Linked DNA regions of Ovis aries. The protein of the gene in region 1 interacts with the protein of each later gene in a pairwise test. Links are inferred from orthologs where the notes say so. Each region holds a gene or a part of one and is shown in the gene's direction. Other genes may lie near its edges.

What was found.
Region 2: the proteins of ERBB4 (region 1) and DLG4 interact in binary tests that used the Homo sapiens proteins (3 or more experiments, as listed by UniProt). The link is inferred for Ovis aries from reciprocal best matches to the Homo sapiens genes ERBB4 and DLG4.
Region 3: the proteins of ERBB4 (region 1) and CFL1 interact in a protein complementation assay, tested with the Homo sapiens proteins (2 studies listed by BioGRID and IntAct, with this or other methods). The link is inferred for Ovis aries from reciprocal best matches to the Homo sapiens genes ERBB4 and CFL1.

Annotation. Positions count from the first base shown.
Region 1 is NC_056055.1:214,424,372-214,428,503, reverse strand, and holds the start of ERBB4 (receptor tyrosine-protein kinase erbB-4), read left to right. Parts: upstream 1-1,265; 5' UTR 1,266-2,017; coding exon 2,018-2,099; intron 2,100-4,132. UniProt on the Homo sapiens protein: Tyrosine-protein kinase that plays an essential role as cell surface receptor for neuregulins and EGF family members and regulates development of the heart, the central nervous system and the mammary gland, gene transcription, cell proliferation, differentiation, migration and apoptosis.
Region 2 is NC_056064.1:26,812,985-26,816,565, reverse strand, and holds part of DLG4 (disks large homolog 4), read left to right. Parts: intron 1-1,607; coding exon 1,608-1,844; intron 1,845-3,200; coding exon of another isoform or gene 3,201-3,257; intron 3,258-3,581. UniProt on the Homo sapiens protein: Postsynaptic scaffolding protein that plays a critical role in synaptogenesis and synaptic plasticity by providing a platform for the postsynaptic clustering of crucial synaptic proteins.
Region 3 is NC_056074.1:40,409,017-40,413,147, reverse strand, and holds CFL1 (cofilin-1), read left to right. Parts: upstream 1-1,262; 5' UTR 1,263-1,273; coding exon 1,274-1,276; intron 1,277-3,098; coding exon 3,099-3,406; intron 3,407-3,673; coding exon 3,674-3,750; intron 3,751-3,953; coding exon 3,954-4,066; 3' UTR 4,067-4,078; downstream 4,079-4,131.

The DNA of each region.
Region 1 (4,132 bases):
AGAAAGGGAAGGCTGAGGCCTCTGGGAAGAAGCTGCTGTTTCACTCTGTTCCAACTCCACGCAAATTCTTAAGGGACACAACTATAGATAAAAGACGTGGGGGAGGAATAGGAAGGTCTCAAATGATGAGCGAGGAGGCAGGGTGACTTAATTTTTAAGCTCCCCTGATACTTTTATGTAGTTGCTGCTTCTAGAGAAGCTGAAAAGGGAAAATCATTCATAGAACGCCTGTGCAAATAGCAAACCAATAATCCCCTGCCCTCAGGAGGTTCTGGCCTTTGTCCTGGGTACAGTTTCAGAGTTGTAAAAAGCAAGGGATATGTGCACTGATATAATCCAATCCCATATGTTTCAGACTAAGAAGAGTTCAGAAACTCCTATGGCTAGCAATGACTTCTGGAGGTCGTATGAACATGGAAGAGGACTAAAGCAGGACCCACTGTAGGATAAACCTAATTATTTAAGGTTGGTTATATCCTATCATTTGCCTTAAGTTATTTCAGACTGATCAGCTCAGCCCTGCATCAATTTCTAGCCATTTAGAACCAAATTGGTGGCTTTGGACTAGAATCGGCTTAATGAGAATGAACCTAAAACCAAGTTGTTCTAGAGTCCAAGGAAAAGATGAAGTGACCCCATAAAGTCTAAAAAATCTAAGGATGCAGCTCTACAAAAGTGAAAGTCTAGTTTGATCAATTTGCGAGCGTGGGAATGATGGGAGAGGTTGTATAGTTAGTTATACAGACTGAAGAAAGAGGAGTGCTTAGGTTCCCAGGACTACCTACTCCGCAGATGTTAACAATTACTGAACCAGCTTTTGAACTACTGTCTGAATGTGAAGCACGAGGAAGTAGGAAGCGAGGTAGCCTAATACAATTGAAGCAGCGTATTCTTTTCTTCTGTTTCTAGGGCAGGTCCAGTCTGTGGATGAGCACCGTGGAGTGTGGAGTAAATGGTGACTTTCTGGCTAAAAAAAAAATCTTTTTTGTAAAGCATCTCTCAGGTGGTCTCCACGCTTTCCGGGCCAGCTGTCCGCCGTGTGTCTGGGGGTGGGGGGGGGTGGTCTCTGATTCAGTTTGTGGCCTCCGGTGAGCCCTTTAAATTCAGCTCCCCCCGCCCCCACCGCTAGGCTCCCAGCTCCCTGACAGGTGTTTTCCCAACTCCTGAGGCCCACGATTTTGGGGAGTGGCTGAACCAATAAGATTTCCCTTTGGGGGGGAAGGCGTGGCTAGTTGGGTCAGAGCGGGGGCGGGGTTTGCGCGGCTGAGCAGAGCCAGCCTGGCTGCGTGGAGGGTTGTTTTACCCACCGCCCGCTCGCCCCCAACCTTTTTTTTTTTCCTCCCGGACGGAGTCTTATTAATTTCTCGGTGGGGCTGCAGCTGGAGACCGCGGAGCGTTGGAAATGACGCTCGGAGCTTTAATTACCGCAGCCGCCGGACAAGTGTGAAGAAAGCTGACAGCAAAAAAAAAAAAAAAAGGACAGGATTGGGGGTGAAGCGAGAAGCTTCCCCCTCCCGCCCCTTTCCTCCCAATTTGGACTGGAGGTGCAAGGAAACTGAAAAGGGAGTCGAACAGAGTCGGGCTGGGGGGAGAGGCCGGAAACCTACCGCCTGTTTGCAATCAACTTTTTTTTTTTTTGGAAACCCTCTTCCGAACCCTTTCTTTTTATTGTTGGCCAACCAGGGAGAGAGAGCGAGAAAGTGAGGAGGGAGCGAGAAAACGGAGGCTCACACGGGGACGTAGCTGCCCGGTCCGGCCCGGAGCGCCGCCGCACACCCTCCAGTACACTCCCACCCGCGCGCGCCCTCCCGCGCACCCTCTCCCGGTCCTCCGGGTCCGGGCCCTAGACCCGCGGACGCGGACTCGGTCGCCCGCGCTCGGAGCTGGTGCACCGCGCGCGCCAGTGCCCCTCGAGCCCCCACGCGCGCCCGGCCGAGGGATCTCCTCCGCGTGCCCGAAAGGGGATTATGCCATTTGGACATGTAATTGTCAGCACTGGATCTGAGACTTCCAAAAAATGAAGCTGGCGACAGGACTGTGGGTCTGGGTGAGCCTTCTCGTGGCGGCGGGGACCGTCCAGCCCAGCTCTTCTCAGTCAGGTGGGTCGCGGTCCTTCTCGCGCTCCCAGGGTTGAACCTGCTGCTGCCGGCCGAGCGGCGCCGGGTGGCTCCTCGCCCCCTGCGCCCTTAGCCCAACCAGAGACCCTCTCGCTCTCGGGCGTGGAGGGACCACGTCACCCGCGCCTCTTCCTTGTGTTTTTCGTTCGCCCCTCTTTCTATCCCAAACTTACCCTCTGCGTGGGCATGTGTTTCTCGTGAAAAACCACTCTGCGCCCCTTTCTCCGTCCCTTTTCTTTCTCTCTCCCCTTGTTTATTTCTCGCGCGTTTTCTTCGAGCCTCTCTAAGCCGGATCCCTTCTGGTAGCGCCTGTTGTGCGGGACGTGGGAGACCCAAAGCCGGAGTCAGAGGAGACGCTCCTTGCAGCGTCTGCCTACCCCCCGCCCCCGCCCGCGAGGGAAGAAGCCTCGGAGAAGCGTTGCCCTGCCGGGGCTCCGAGGCAGGATTGGGATCCCGGGGCCGTGGCAGCTGGGCTCCGGGGAGCGGGAGGGCAGTGGGGAGAGGAGCTCCGAGAGCCGGCTTTGCACCTGTGTGCGCTGCCCGCGGCCGCTGCGTCCCTGGCCGTCCGAGCCTGCGGGGTCAGACCCGACTCGAGCCCAGCCTGGGAGCTGGAGCACGGCGGGAGGACACGCCTCGGCCGGGGGGCCCGGGAACGCAAGGCCTCCGCTGGCGTCCCCAGCCCTCGCCCCGCGGACTAAGGGGGGCTGGCTGGCTTGCTTGACCTTTTTTTTTTTTTTTTTTTTTTAATGGCCTGACTGACTTAAGCCGGGAGCCCGGCCTTCCCGTCGGTTTCTGTGTTTGGCTTCAGGAAGAGTTCTTCCTGTAGTTCAACTTGCTATTGGCCGGAGTCCCTCCAACTTCTGTTTACTGCCGGGCGCGGCTGCCGAGCCAACCCGTCAGGCGAATTGATAGAACCCAAGGCGGGTGCTGCGGCACTGGGTGCGCTACCACTGCTGCCCGGGGAGCTCGCGCCCCGGGACCCCGCGGGGCAGGAGGCGAACTGACCCCCGGGGAGGAGGCGCGGCGGGGCCCGCAGGGTGGATGACAGCCCCTGCGGGCCCAGGGAGCTCAAAGTTTCTGACACTTGAGTTTCCTGAGGATGAAAGTGGGACAGGAAAGAAAGGGCCAGGAAAACCGGGGACTGACGTGGCCAAGGGGGGCCTTTTGGAGAGCCGGGGAGATGTCCGGAACCATACGGGGCTGGTCGCGAGGGCGTGGGAGGCACCTTGAGAAGATAAAGCCCCCGGGGAGTGGCGAGAGGGAGAGTTTCAGGCCCTCGGAGCGTGTCCTTCTGACCTCACCAAGAAAACAGCGCGCTGGAGTTTTCCCGCTCCGCCCCCGCCGCCGCCGCCTCCCCCCGCTCCCCCCTCGCCTAGTAAATAACAAGTTACAATCCTCGAGCCTTTCAAAATGACCTTCGAATGGCACAATGTGCGCCGTTTGTTCTGGCCGTTTGCACCCTCCCAATTACTCCGAAATTCTTCATGCATACCAGGTCCCGGGCTCCAGCCACCTCCGGAATTACACCAACACCGACTTGAGATTCCAAGCGGCCTCTTAGATACATCCCTTTTTATCTCCCTCCCCACTCCGCGTCCCTTCATATTTCCCCTCAATGGGTTGATTATGCACATTGAACCATTCAGAAGCAGTTGCGACTGACACGCAGGCTTAGCCGAGAGGAATTTCCACCGGGCGACCTACTGGGGGGCTGTCTGGTGCAATCTCTGCCGCTGGGGGACCCGGCTGCGAGTCCGCAGCGATTGGGTATTAACTGTGCGGCTCGGGCTTGAGCTATGCCGAAAAGCCCTTTTCAGAATTTCTGCAAGGAATGTAATCCAAATTAGTTCTGCAGCTGTCCTCTTCCTCGTCTCTGGCGACACCGACTCGCACCCTCGCTGGTCTCTTCTCGCTTTCCCCCCGTGAATTGTCAGACCCACACAAGTGAGCCCAGTTAGAGCGCGAGGATTAGCGTGCCATTGTTGTTCCGAGTGTGACTCTGTACTTGAAATTCT
Region 2 (3,581 bases), on another chromosome or scaffold:
GCCCCTTCTCTTTCTTTAAGACTTCAAACATATCGAGGTGGGACTTCCCTGGCAGGGTCCAGTAGTTATGACTCCACACTTCCACTGCAGGGGGCATGGATTTGATCCCTGGTCAGGGAACTAAGATCCTGCATGCTCAGTGGTGCAGCCTTAAAACAAAATATATCAAGGTGTTCCTTGATCTCAGCTGTCTCTGTCCTGGATTGGAGAGTCTTAATGGACCATTTTCCTCTTCCTATTCTCTTACTTTATCCTTAACCATGGCCAAAGTGGACTGCATCCTCAGCCTTGGTTCCTCATCCTCAGAATTTTCAGAATCATACTCTGTGTCAGGCATTGACCTTGATAAGCTTCCTCCAGTTGTCCTCTGAATGTTGGGGTCTTCTCAGCTTTTCAGATACTTTTTTTGAGAGGGAAATCTTGCCTTCTCTTTTTACCCATGTGTACTGGGGAGCATAGTCTGTCTTCTGCAGTCTCTGGGAGAGCCCTACACATGGTAACCTCCCCTTCCTTCACAGAACCTGGCCTTGGGAAGGGTTTGCTTCTGTGAGGGGCAGAGGCGCTACCCTTCATTACTGTCTCCAGCTGCCCTCCTCTCTGGTCCCTCCGTTAATCTCATTGACTGGTGTCTGTATTAAGCTAGTAAGGGAGGCCCTTGAGATGGTATGCAGTGAGTTAGGAAGGGGAATCAGGGGTCAGGTTGGGTCTTTCACTCCTAAAGGCCAAAGGAAGACCAGGAATTTACTCTGAGGTTCTACCCACTTCCGCAGTTATTGAACCTGGAAGCTGGCATCTATTCCTGCCCCCTTTCTGAGCCCTACCATCTCTGTTCCTCCCCCACCCTCCCCCTTCTTCTAGTATATCCGATTAGCTGGCTGGCCTCTGGGCATTTGTAGAGGTGGGGGAGTCCTGGGGCCCCCTTGCCGAAGACTTGGGAACCAGCAAGGCCAGCTGGACCGGTTAGACACTTTGTCCTGTCAGGGGGGCTGATGCCAAGTACCTGCTAGTTGAAGGGCCTGACTGCGGTCCCTGCCCGGGGCTTGCAAAGTGCTGGGGAGTGATTTCTTCCTGGGGCAGAGGCTGCAGTAGGGAGACTGAGGCAAGGAGGGTGCAGCGGGGTGGAATGGAGTACAGAATGGGAGAAGCAACTCGAAGGAGGGAGGTTACATGGGGAATGGGCTTAAGGTAAAGAGGAAGTGGGGGGAAGCTGATGAGGTAAGCAAAGATGCTGGGGATGGAAGTAGAGAAGGGGAGGGGTGCACGTGGCCGAGGGGCTAGAGCTCTGGGAAAGGGGTGAAGAAACGGACTTCAGAGGAGGGGTGTGCTGGGGAGAAGGCGGGGGTCCTAGGCTGGGAGTTGGAAGAGTTGCGGGGAGGGTTCGGATTTGGGAAGAGAAGAGAGGTGCCAAGGGCCTGGCGGGAGAGGGGGCTGTGGGGAGGGTGGAGAGAGGGGAGCCAATGGGCTGGAGGACAGGGAGGGGGAGGAGCTGGTCAGGCCCCAGGGCCTTCCGCACTGCACAGGCGGGGGAGCGGAGGCGCGCCGGGCCGGGCCGCCTGGAGCCCGAGGCGCTGGGCCGGCCCCCGTGACGCCTCCGTCCCCGTCCCCAGAAATACCGCTACCAAGATGAAGACACGCCCCCTCTGGAGCACAGCCCGGCCCACCTCCCCAACCAGGTAAACGCCCCCGAGCTGGTGCACGTGGCGGAGAGGAACTTGTCCCACCTCGAGGCCGTCCAAGGGGTCGTGGGCCACGCCCACTTCTCCCCCCTCAAGGTAGGAGACTCAGGCGGCCCCCTCCCCAGTGCAGCCCTCGGAGCCTCGGAGCTACAACTACCCCAAGGCCCGGTAGGGCGAGAGCCGGAGGTGGGGGGCGGCTGGGGCTGGTGGGCTGGGCTTGGGCTCCTGGGGCCAGGGGAGGGGGCATTGGGGGCGTCGGAAACACCTGGTTCCCAAAGAGGAGAAACAGAGGCCAGGCAAGTGGGAGAGGGTGTAGAGTTTACAGCCGTTGTGTGTGTGCGTGTGTGTCTGCGTGTGTGCGCACACGTGCGTTGAGATGCGTGCGTTCCCCAGGATGCTCCCCGCGCCTGGGCCCTCTTCATTCCTTCACGCACCCCCACCTCGGTTTCCATTTTCTGTGTCCAGAGCTCTGTTCAGAACTCCTGCTGCCCTCATTTGCTCTTGGCCCTTCGCTGCCAACCCCCCCCCCCCGCCCCCCCTGCTTCCGGCCTCTGGGCCTGGCTCTCCAGCCCTTTCCATCGGTCTGGCCGGAGATTTCTGGTTGCCTGGCCTTTCCGCCTCTGTCCCCTGCCTCGGCCTGTGCACCCCTCCTGTGCCCTCCCGCCCTCGATGCCTTTCCCTCTCTGCTGGCTGGTGCTGGATGCTGTCTCTCTCTTCCTCCCACGCATTCTCCTTCTCCCTCTCCCCGATCCCCAGCTCAGGCTCTCTGGCCAGGATGAGTCCTCTGCCTGGGTCAGCCGGCTTTCTCTGTGTTAACCCCCTTCCCTACTCATCACTTCTGTCCTTTCCTCCTATGCCTCCTCTCTCTCCTCCTCTTGGACTCTACCTCCATGCAAATTTGTTTCTGTGCCCCCCCCCCCATTATTATTCACCACCACCTGTTTCCCCTTCTTTTCTGTGCTCACAGTATGTTTTCCCTTCTCCAGTCCTCGGGAGACCTTGTTTTTGAGATCTCCCATTCTCCAGGCCACTTCCCATCTTCTTCCCCCTCAGTCTCCTCTTCTGGGGGTGTAGGCTGGGAGGAATGGAGTGTACCAGGCTGGCTGTGAGATTCAGGGGAACACTGGGGTCAGGGGTGAGATTCTAGGATCTTGTGGGATGTTCCCGGGAAGGGGGAAGTTGTTGACGTTTCACCAAGAAGATGGAGAGGAGGTTCCTGAGTTACTGAGCCTGGGAATGAGGAGGCAGAGGCTGGGCAGCAGTAGGTTCTGGGGTGAGAAGGAGGTGGTAGGAGAGTAGTTGGAGAGGGAAATACCATTCTTCTGCAGGTAGAAAAGTGGAGACACGAGAGGAAGCTGAGAGGTCCTAGGACAGGAGACAGGCAAAGATGAGACGTGAAATCAGCGGGGAGGTTGAGCTGATTGAGAGCAAGGAGAGGAGGAGATGGGTGCAGAGAATTCCTTTGGATGGCTGGGGGCTGCAAGGACTAAGGAAAGAAGACGAGAGATGCTTTTTTTCCCTCAGGATGGGGCCATTCAGTCCTTGGGGAAGGGGAAGAGGAGTGAAGGTGGTCGTACAGAGGTAGGGAGACTTGGAATCTGCGTCCAGGAAGCAGAGGGAAGTGAGTGCTGGAGGCCCTGGGTGTGGGAGGGAGGACCCACAACAAGGCCTGAGCTGGAGGACGGGAGAAGCCTCAGTTTTCAGAGGGTTGAGAATGAAGGATTGTGATTTGGGTATAGAATTTTGAGGGTCAGAGAATGAAGTAAGGGAGAGTGGTGGTGATCCCTCTGAGGATCATAAGTTAGGATGGAGGATAAGAGCAGGAGGCTAATGCCGAATGGGCCTGGACAGGGGCACAGGGCGTGGAAGCGGATGGAGAACGGAGGCTGGGGTTGGAGGATAAAT
Region 3 (4,131 bases), on another chromosome or scaffold:
CGAAACTCTGCAAAGGTGGAGCCAGCCTTATCTCCGGCCCGGTCTCCAGCGGGAGGCGGCGGTTGAGCTGCGGCCCCCCCCATTGAGGCTCCTTCGGAGCTAGGTTGGTGAGCGGTGCGACGGGATGTCCCCGACTACAATCCCCAGCATGCTCTGCGACGTACCCCACTCGGGTGTCGCTAGCCGGGTCCTAAAGACCAGGCTTCCAGCTGTTTATTGTTCTATCCTTTATTTTGTGTGTAGGATCAATGCCCCGGGCCTCTTGTTTGAGACCTTGTCTTCTCTTCCTGCAGACTAAGAGGTCTTCGAGACCAACGAAGTGTTTCCGGAGTCCCCCAGCCCAGTTTGGTTTTTTTTTGAAGGTTATGCTCTCACAGAACTTTTGCCTCAATTTCTGAGGGTATTAACCATATGCCTGGTTACCAACTCGAGAATGAGATTCAAGTCTGGTTTAATATCTATTTCCTCTTTTCACTGTCTAGTAGAAAAGCACATACTCTTTGAATCGAATGCACAAAACCCCTTCTACCTTTATTGCCTTATTAATTTGCCAAACACCTTTTGGTACAAATCTTATTTCCAAACATTTCCTTGTAGCCTTTCCTTTGTTTTTCCCCATTTTATTGACGTTGCATATACCTTTTCTCAGTAGACAACATGGAGTAGACTTCATGAATACTTATTTTATTGGAGGGGCCTTATACTTGCGATTCTCCTTGCTCTAGGACTGGATCCCAGGAAAAAGAATAAATAGGTGCTTCAGTTCAGAAAAGTTAAACACTAACTCGTTGAAAATCTTCATACCAAGGTATCCAGAAAGTACCAAGATGACGCTTAGGAAAATCGTTTCGCTACTGGGTATAGAGCCGCGAAGCCAGGGTTTATTCTCAGGCCTTATTACCAAACGCTGAGGCCTTCTCTGAGCTCGGAGCATTTCCTGGGAAACTCGACCAACGGGTGCGCTCTGCGCACCACAGCCCCGCCTCTCTCTGCCGTTTCGGACTACTTTTCCCAGGATGCAACGTGGCGCTCAGAGGCCGTCAGACGAAGAAGACTCTCTTACCCAGCAAGCCCGAAGACGGCGCAGGGCCCTCGGACTTCATTTCCCGTCGGCCCGCAAGGGGAGCCCCGGAAGCCCGCCCCGCCCCTCATTGTGCGGCTCATACTAAACGGAAGGGGCCGGGAGAGGCCGCGTTCAGTCGGATCCCGGCAGCAGCTGCAGCGGCTCTCGTCTTTTGGCTCTCCTAGCTATCGCTTTTTCGCTTCCGGAAACATGGTGAGCGGCAGGCCACGGCGCCGCGGGGGAGGCAGCCGCGAGTCGATCATTCGGGCGCGCTAGAGGGAACGGGGGCGCGACGTCGGCACTCCCTTCCCGAGCTCCCGGGGCTGGACGAGGGTCTCGTGCTGAGGGGCGGGCGGCGCCGGGACGCGCGTGCGCGCCCGCGGGCTCCGGGGAGGGCTGGCTCGGACGTCGCTCGCGCGCCCCCTGGGCTCCCTTCCCCTCCCCCACCCGGCTGCTGCGCCCGCGCGGCCCAGGGCCGTGGGGGAGGGGTCCAGGGCGCGCGCGCGCCCGTCCCCTCGCGGGGCCGCCGAGTCGCTTCTCGGGGACGCGCGTCTCGACTGGAACACGCGGCATCCAAACCTGGCCCGGGGACGACGGAGGAAAAGCGCGCGAGCGGTCTTGGTGCGCGCCCCACCCAAGGGCTGTTCCTGTCTCCGCGTCACCCTCCCTCTCGAGCGGGGTCCGTCTCGAGAGCAGGTGGCAGGGATGCCCGCGAGGGGCGGGGGCGGCGCGGCTGGCGGGGGATGCGGGGGTGTCCTGGCGCAGGCGCCAGCGATTAGGGGCTTGCACCGCGCGCCACAGAGCGGACCGCGAAGGAGTCCTCGGCGGCCCTCCCGGGCTAGCGAGCCCCTGAAGGCGAGCCGGGTTCGCGGAGTACACCCGGCGGAGACTGGGACGGCGCTCCCGGCCGGCGCGTGCGCACACGGTCAGGCCTGGCCGCTGGGCCAGAAGCCGTGGACTAACGGGGCCTTCGGCTCTCCCGGATGGGGCCTGAGGGTGGAGCCGCGTTTAGGGAAGTGACCCAGGCGGGCACCGCCCGGAAACCACCCCGTCCCCTGTGTTCGGCCCGAGGACTGCGAGAGCCGAAGGTTGTGTAACTTGCCCAGGCCTGCAGCGCAGGGGGCCGATAAGCTCGTCGGCGCAGGCGATTCCATTGGGTTGAGGCCTTCCGAGATGCAGCTGCCGCTGGGTACGAGTTTTTTTCGGGGAGGGGGCTGACGCTAACCGATCTGCTTTCACCGCCTACTCCGGAAGCGGCTCAATCACGTGGCCGGCTTCCTCTGCAGTTCCGGGAGCGGGGGCAGATTTCACCGTGGACCGTCACTCCCTCTCCTGGCTAGGGTGTCCCCCAACACGACCTAGAAGTTTAAAGAGCTCTCAGAGACTGTGGGCACTTGAATTTGGACCGCTGACTCCTATCAGCGACTTGGGGGCCTGCATTTTTCCCATGTAGGGCCTTAATTAGGGGTTTGTTGTTGCTTTGGTTTGGGGAGACCCCAGCAGAGAAGGAATACCTTGTATAATAACTGCTTTGAACCGTCCTGATGGGCTTGCTAGAACTGTTGAGCCCCGTTGGTGGGTTCTGGTTCTATAGAGATGACTAGGATCTGGATCCCTTTCTGCTCTACGTGAAGTTCTGAGTCAGCACTTAATGCAAAAGCTGAGACTGGGTAGAAAACGGGGTCAGTAGTCTGTCGGTTCTTTTAATTTTGGACTCACATCTTGGCTGAGGCTCTGCTTCTCACAGATCTTGGATCTCTAGCCTGCAGGATGTCGGGATGGGGAGGAATGCTGTTGAATTATGCGATCAAAGGTCTCTTTTTCTTTGGCTGCTATTCTGGGATTGTGTCACATCTTAACTTTTGACGGTGACCTGGGTGGGAAAATAGTGCCACTAGTCCTGGGAAGGGGATTAGTAGTAACCTCTTGGGGCTGAGGACTATACTTTGTTGGCCTCTAGATAGATCTCCTAACAAAGCAAAAGAGGGACTTCAGGGCATGTCTCCTTACGAGGTGCATGTGGCTCATCCTATAGGCCTCCGGTGTGGCTGTCTCTGATGGGGTCATCAAAGTGTTCAACGACATGAAAGTGCGTAAGTCCTCAACACCAGAGGAAGTGAAGAAGCGCAAGAAGGCGGTGCTCTTCTGCTTGAGTGAGGACAAGAAGAACATCATCCTGGAGGAGGGCAAGGAGATCCTGGTGGGTGATGTGGGCCAGACGGTAGACGACCCCTATGCCACCTTTGTCAAGATGCTGCCAGACAAAGACTGCCGCTACGCCCTCTATGACGCAACCTACGAGACCAAGGAGAGCAAGAAGGAGGACCTGGTGTTCATCTTCTGGTGAGCTGCTCCTTGTAGGCACTTTGTCCTTTCACCTGCTCTAGCTCTGCCCCACCCCCCTTTCCAGGACAGGAAGGTCTGTGGCTCCGGCTTAATCCAGACACCTGCGTGTCAAGAGGAGGGTGTTGTAATAAAAGGCTTGTCAATGAGGAACTTGATGAAAGCGTGAATGCTTGGGCCCAGCTCAGGGGTTTCTGGAAGTTATTTATTGCTTGAGGGTACTTGCTGGGTTTGGAGCCAAATTCTCTTGATTCTGTTCTCTTCCAGGGCCCCTGAGTGTGCACCCCTTAAGAGCAAAATGATCTATGCCAGCTCCAAGGACGCCATCAAGAAGAAGCTGACAGGTAAGGGCCAGCACTGGTGGCGCCATATGCCCTGGTGCTTGGGCCTTGGCCGCTGGGTGGGGTGAATGGCATGGCCCAGGAGATCCCTGCCTGCTGGAAGGCAGCCTGGTCCCCTCCATCTGTTCAGACTGGCTCCTACCCAGCTGCAATACCCCCCACCCCCACCCTTCCTGCTCACAGATGCTCCCCCTTCTTCCCCACAGGGATCAAGCATGAATTACAAGCAAACTGCTACGAGGAGGTCAAGGACCGTTGCACCCTTGCAGAGAAGCTGGGGGGCAGCGCTGTCATCTCCCTGGAGGGCAAGCCTTTGTGAGCCCCCTCCAGCCCCCTGCCTGGAGCATCTGGCAGCCCCAGACCTGCCCACGGGGGTTGCAGGCT